2 linked regions of the Saccharomyces cerevisiae S288C genome follow. The protein of the gene in region 2 purifies or fractionates together with the protein of the main gene of each other region. This does not show direct contact. Each region holds a gene or a part of one and is shown on either strand. Other genes may lie near its edges. The genes, in order: IBA57 and ISA1.

Region 1 (4,065 bases), on a different chromosome or scaffold from region 2:
TCCAAACTAAGAAAGCCAATTCACGCAGACCCTCCTAGTTTTGCAGAACAATCTACTTCGGCTGAAATTTTGGAAACAGGTATCAAAGTCGTCGATCTATTAGCTCCTTATGCCAGAGGTGGTAAGATTGGTCTTTTCGGTGGTGCAGGTGTCGGTAAGACTGTGTTCATTCAAGAATTGATTAACAATATCGCCAAGGCCCATGGTGGTTTTTCCGTTTTCACCGGTGTTGGTGAAAGAACAAGAGAAGGTAATGACTTGTACCGTGAAATGAAGGAAACTGGTGTCATTAACTTGGAAGGTGAATCCAAGGTCGCCTTAGTGTTCGGTCAAATGAACGAACCTCCAGGAGCCAGAGCCAGAGTCGCTTTAACTGGTTTGACGATCGCTGAATATTTCAGAGATGAAGAAGGTCAAGATGTCTTGTTGTTTATCGACAATATCTTTAGATTTACTCAAGCTGGTTCAGAAGTCTCTGCCCTTTTGGGTCGTATTCCATCTGCCGTCGGTTATCAACCAACTTTGGCCACTGATATGGGTCTCTTACAAGAAAGAATTACCACCACAAAGAAGGGTTCTGTCACTTCTGTGCAAGCCGTTTATGTTCCAGCCGATGATTTAACAGATCCTGCTCCTGCCACTACTTTTGCCCATTTGGACGCTACTACCGTCTTGTCAAGAGGTATTTCAGAATTAGGTATTTACCCTGCAGTGGATCCATTGGATTCTAAATCAAGGTTATTGGATGCCGCCGTTGTCGGTCAAGAACATTATGACGTCGCCTCCAAGGTTCAAGAAACTTTACAGACCTATAAATCTTTACAAGATATCATTGCTATTTTGGGTATGGATGAATTGTCCGAACAAGATAAACTAACTGTCGAAAGGGCAAGAAAGATTCAAAGATTCTTATCTCAACCATTTGCTGTCGCCGAAGTCTTTACTGGTATCCCAGGTAAATTAGTGAGATTAAAGGACACCGTTGCCTCGTTCAAAGCCGTTTTGGAAGGTAAATACGATAATATACCAGAACATGCTTTCTATATGGTTGGTGGTATTGAAGATGTTGTTGCTAAAGCTGAAAAGTTAGCCGCTGAAGCCAACTAGAAGAAATAAAGCTTAAACCAAGGGAAGCAAAATTTGAAATACCGAAGGTAGAACAATAAGGATGATGGGAAAAAAAAGATAATTTTTTTTTTTTGTTTTTCCCTGCTTCCTTCTTGTTTATTGGTATTATTATGTTACGATATTCATTCATTATCCTATTGATATTTTCTTTATATTCACTAAAAAAAAATTTATTCTATAAGACTGACTATAATTTTTTTTACTCCCAACTGTAAGTAAATAAAGACTCACCTACGCATACATTTTTTATATATACTATAAGATGTAGGATCTTAAAGAAAAATAAAGAGAAAAAGAGAAGCACACAACCTGCGATAAGTTGTAAGTTTGCCTCAACAGCTATTCTACTCACTTTTTGTATCTTCGGTTAGTATTATTGGGAAGTCATGTTCATCGTACTCACTTTCGCACATGCGATTACGTGTATTACCCTGATTTTCTTTCTGTATTAGCGTATGGCTGACTAATATTCACTTGGGGTCAACATAACTTACTTTCACATATCATGGTAGCTGTTTTAATTACCATTCTATTAGATGCGCTGTATTCCAAATTACCGTTCTCTCATTGAGCTTCTTCCTTAAAGGTTCTTGCCTCGCTTTCCCACTGGACATGTTCATCAGTAGAAGATGCAGAATTAAAGGCTTTACCCTTAAGAATTTGCTGTGGTTCAGGTCATCATCAACTCGATTTGTTTCAACTGAATCACCAGATGCGAGCGCAATTACGAAACCAGATGGTATTTTCAATTATTCTCTGTTGGAAAACAGAACATACATCAGGATACGAGGACCCGACACAGTGAAATTTCTAAACGGATTAGTTACCTCGAAACTATTACCTCATTTTATTAAGAAAAATCTAACCACTGTAGAAGAGAATGAAGTGCCTACTGAAGAAGGAACGACGAAGGTTGATCCAATTATTCCTGTGCCAGAATTTGATGCACGACTGGGAAATTGGGGACTGTATAACGAAAAAGGTATTCAAGGGCCATATATTTCAAGGTTTGGTTTGTACTCTGCATTTTTAAACGGTAAGGGGAAGTTAATAACAGATACAATTATTTACCCCACTCCTGTGACCGTAAGCGAACAAATTTCAAATTATCCTGAGTATCTGTTAGAGCTTCACGGGAATGTAGTGGACAAAATTTTGCACGTTTTACAAACTCACAAGTTGGCCAATAAGATTAAATTCGAAAAAATTGATCATTCCTCCTTGAAAACCTGGGATGTTGAGGTTCAATTCCCTAATTTGCCCAAAGATATTGAAAACCCGTGGTTTGATAATCTACTGGATCCTATGGCTCTACCAAAAAATTCCATAGATGCTAATAATTTTGCTGTTAATGTTTTAAATTCTTTGTTTAACTCAGATCCTAGAATATTGGGTATTTACGTAGAAAGAAGAACTGAGTCAATGTCAAGGCATTACTCCACATTTCCACAATCCTTCAGAGTTGTCACTTCCGAGCAAGTGGATGATCTCTCTAAGCTATTTAACTTTAACGTTTTCGACTTCCCTTTTCAAGTAAATAAAAAAGCTTCCGTTCAAGTTAGAGAAATCAGATTTCAAAAAGGTCTTATAGATAGCACTGAGGATTACATATCTGAGACTTTGCTACCTTTGGAACTAAACTTTGATTTTTTTCCAAACACTATAAGCACAAACAAAGGATGTTATGTAGGACAAGAGCTGACAGCCAGGACATATGCTACAGGCATTCTACGGAAACGTTTGGTCCCAGTTAAGCTGGATAATTATCAACTTTTAGATACAGACCCAGAAAGAAAGTACGCAGAATTCCATATCGACAACGTTGTAGAAAAGAGCCTTGCAGAGAACGAGCCAACCCTCAATCCATTTACCAATAAACCGCCCGAACGAACCAAGAGAAAGCAAAGGCCGGCAGGCTTATTGATTTCTAATGAAGGGCTGTATGGCGTAGCTTTACTTAGAACAGAGCATTTCTCTGCTGCCTTCTCATCTGATGAGCCAGTCGAATTTTACATTACTACAACGAAGGGTGAAAATATTAAAATAACACCTCAAAAACCATTCTGGTTTAGCGACTGGAAAAACAATAACGGGCCTCATAAATAGATTTCACGAAAACACCTTGTAAATACTACTTGTGAATATGCAAATAGGAAATAGATATATGCATACAAATAAGAAACAATGAACAGCCTTGAGTTCTCAAATTTGCATATCATTTGTTACGTAATTCCTTATCAAGACCTTTTATACAACAACACCCATATACCCATAATTATTCTTAACCCATACATATTTGTCTCAAGTTTATTTTTCAGATGAGAATGGCCCTGCATCAGTTTTTTTCCAGAAACTAATTCATGGTAACAAACATTTCGCGCCCTGCTACGGGGAAGGAGAATTCTTTTTCTCCCGCCCAGAACGTAAAGCCTTGTTTCTTTCTACCGTACTGGGCCCGTCTAATTCTGCCCCTTTGCTGGGAAATCTCCTTTGCAAGCTCCCCTACCTTCGCCGCAGGCTTAGTGGAGGTCTCACTGAACCCTTCCACCTTGGGCCAACTTCTACGCTCACGTTAGTAGGTAATGGATTATCCACAATGTGCCCATTAGTTCTAAAATATTTTGTACTTTTTATCAATACTTAAAATTTCATTTTGAATTAAAATTACTTTTTATTTTAATTACACTCCTTTCATAATACCAAGAAAAGAGACTAGAAATAACCGACCATTCCAAAGATGTCTGACACCGAAGCTCCAGTTGAAGTTCAAGAAGATTTCGAAGTTGTTGAAGAATTCACCCCAGTCGTCTTGGCTACTCCAATTCCAGAAGAAGTCCAACAAGCTCAAACCGAGATTAAGTTGTTCAACAAATGGTCTTTTGAAGAAGTTGAAGTTAAGGATGCTTCTTTGGTTGACTACGTTCAAGTTAGACAACC
Region 2 (3,162 bases):
CTAGGTGTTTTTGTAGGCCCCATTTTATCGCCTGTCATGGGTTCTTATATCGCACAAAGAACTACCTGGAGATGGTTAGAATATGTTGTCGGTTGTTTCGCTTCCGCAGTTTTCGTTGCCATCGTATTGTTCTTTGAAGAAACACATCACCCTACCATTTTGGTTAACAAGGCCAAACAGATGAGAAAGCAAAGTAATAACTGGGGTATTCATGCTGCTCATGAAGACGTGGAGCTATCCATCAAAGACATTGTCCAAAAAACTGTGACGAGGCCTATCATTATGCTTTTCGTGGAACCATTGCTACTATTCGTGACTATTTACAACTCTTTTGTCTACGGTATCTTGTATTTGTTACTGGAAGCCTACCCACTTGTCTTTGTGGAGGGTTATGGGTTTACTGAAAACGGTGAGTTGCCATACATCGCCTTGATTATCGGTATGATGGTGTGTGCTGCTTTCATTTGGTATATGGACAACGATTATTTGAAAAGATGTAGAGCCAAGGGGAAATTAGTGCCCGAGGCCAGATTGTACGCAATGGTCATTGCAGGTACCGTTTTCCCTATTGGTATCTTATGGTTCTGTTGGACGGGCTACTATCCTCACAAGATTCATTGGATGGTCCCCACAGTAGGAGGGGCCTTCATCGGGTTCGGTTTAATGGGTATTTTCTTGCCATGTTTAAACTATATCATTGAATCGTATCTATTGTTGGCAGCTTCTGCCGTCGCAGCAAACACTTTCATGAGGTCTGCATTTGGTGCATGCTTCCCATTGTTTGCAGGATATATGTTCCGTGGCATGGGTATCGGTTGGGCTGGTTTGTTATTAGGTCTATTTGCCGCTGCGATGATTCCCGTGCCTTTACTATTCTTAAAATATGGTGAATCTATCAGAAAGAAATCCAAGTATGCTTACGCCGCTTAAGAAAAAGAAAAGCAGAAATCATGCTCTTTCTATATTTGCATTTTTTTATTTCATTGTTATTACTCACCCTGCCCCACGCTCAAAGGGCTCGATAACGACATAGCATTATAGACACTGTGCAGCGTAAAGCTGACATATAAAGAAATTACAAAAAAAAATTAAAAAAAAAAAAAAAAACAATCAAAAAAGACACACAACTACAGAACAAAGGAAATCTTTTTCTATGCACAAGCACAAGAGTACTTAGAGAGTAGTGATATCCCCTTTTTTTTCTACTATTTTTTTTTTTCCCATTTTTTTCCTCCAAGACTCCTCTTATGTGGTTGTTATGTATAGCCCATAGTTACTAAATAAAACACTAATTAATGATTAATAATCCCTCTCTAATAAGAAATAGATAAAAGCTATTGTTCTTCTCATCGCCGGTTCTCGGCGTTGTCCGTACCCTTGGCCGAAACTCGGGCGGGGGCTTATTAGTCATACCCTCAGATTTCATTGGTCAGATAACAGTCACCCGGTAAATGCCCGTTTAATGACTTCTTTATTTTGGATTAAAATTGACAGGGAATTTCAACGGAATAAAGGAAAGAGATTGAGATGCTTTTAATTCATAAAGGAAAGGGAAAGAGGACAGGAAAGCAAGGAAGAGTAATGGAATTTTGCAAATATTTGTAAATCCTTTAGAATTACTAAGAAACTGTTATTTATTGACATTATTTTACTCGTCTTATTTATTTATTTATACATTTGGCCACCATTTTTGCACTCGTACGAAAGACCATTTTAGATTTTTTTGATTTGGTAGTATAACAAACGATCGGAACAATAACGTAACATAATGATAAACACAGGAAGAAGCAGGAATTCAGTACTGCTGGCACACAGATTCCTTTCAACTGGAGGATTTTGGCGAGGCGGTACGAATGGCACAATGTCTCGCACAATCAACAACGTAAATCCTTTCAAATTAAAATTCATACCGAAGACAGTGCCCGCAGCTGCAGACTCTGTCTCTCCAGATAGTCAACGTCCAGGTAAGAAGCCCTTCAAATTCATAGTTTCCAATCAGAGCAAGAGTAGCAAGGCTTCTAAAAGCCCGAAGTGGTCGAGCTACGCATTCCCTTCGCGTGAGACCATCAAATCTCATGAGGAGGCCATCAAGAAGCAGAATAAAGCTATAGACGAGCAAATAGCTGCTGCAGTATCCAAGAATGACTGCTCTTGCACAGAACCTCCCAAGAAAAGAAAGAGGAAATTGAGACCAAGAAAGGCGCTGATCACCCTGAGTCCGAAGGCAATCAAGCATTTAAGGGCACTGCTAGCTCAGCCGGAACCTAAATTGATTAGAGTTAGCGCTAGAAACCGTGGATGTTCAGGACTAACGTACGATCTACAATATATCACCGAGCCGGGGAAATTCGATGAGGTAGTAGAACAAGATGGCGTTAAAATTGTCATCGATTCAAAGGCGTTATTCAGCATCATTGGAAGTGAAATGGACTGGATCGACGACAAGTTGGCCTCTAAGTTTGTCTTCAAGAATCCAAACTCCAAGGGCACATGCGGTTGTGGCGAGAGTTTCATGGTTTAAAAACCTTCTGCACCATTTTTAGAAAAAAAGAATCTACCTATTCACTTATTTATTCATTTACTTATTTATTTACATATTTATCATACATATTAACATTGAACCCTCCATCGTGGTAGTGTTTGCTGTTCCTAACTTTTCTTTCGTTGTTCTTGTAGATATATATTTTTCCAGAATTTTCTAGAAGGGTTATTAATTACAATCTTAAACGTTCCATAAGGGGCCGCGATTTTTTTGTTCAATTTTCAACAGGGGGCCCATCTCAAAGAACTGCAAATTATATCACAGTAAAAGGCAAAGGGGCGCAAACTTATGCAACCTGCCAGATTATTATATAAGGCATTGTAATCTTGCCTCAATTCCTTCATAATTCGTTCCTTTGTCACTTGTTCCTTTTTACCCTTGAATCGAATCAGCAATAACAAAGAAAAAAGAAATCAACTACACGTACCATAAAATATACAGAATATATGAACGACCAAACGCAATTTACAGAAAGGGCTCTAACGATTTTGACGTTGGCTCAAAAATTGGCTTCGGATCATCAACATCCACAATTACAACCTATACATATTCTAGCTGCCTTCATTGAAACGCCAGAAGATGGATCAGTCCCTTACCTACAGAATCTAATTGAGAAGGGC

Evidence for each region.
Region 1: the proteins of ISA1 (region 2) and IBA57 purify together in Saccharomyces cerevisiae (affinity purification with western blotting; one study listed by BioGRID). This does not show direct contact.

Annotation. Positions count from the first base shown.
Region 1 is NC_001142.9:648,036-652,100, forward strand, and holds IBA57 (Iba57p), read left to right. Parts: upstream 1-1,740; coding exon 1,741-3,234; downstream 3,235-4,065. Other genes in the region: ATP2 (F1F0 ATP synthase subunit beta), read left to right, coding at 1-1,107; 40S ribosomal protein uS7 RPS5, read left to right, coding at 3,866-4,065. UniProt on the Saccharomyces cerevisiae protein: Required for lysine and glutamate prototrophy and mitochondrial genome maintenance. Has a role in the maturation of mitochondrial aconitase-type and radical-SAM Fe/S proteins biotin synthase and lipoic acid synthase.
Region 2 is NC_001144.5:85,635-88,796, forward strand, and holds ISA1 (Fe-binding Fe/S cluster assembly protein ISA1), read left to right. Parts: upstream 1-1,768; coding exon 1,769-2,521; downstream 2,522-3,162. Other genes in the region: polyamine transporter TPO1, read left to right, coding at 1-930; chaperone ATPase HSP104, read left to right, coding at 2,989-3,162. UniProt on the Saccharomyces cerevisiae protein: Involved in the assembly of mitochondrial and cytoplasmic iron-sulfur proteins. Probably involved in the binding of an intermediate of Fe/S cluster assembly.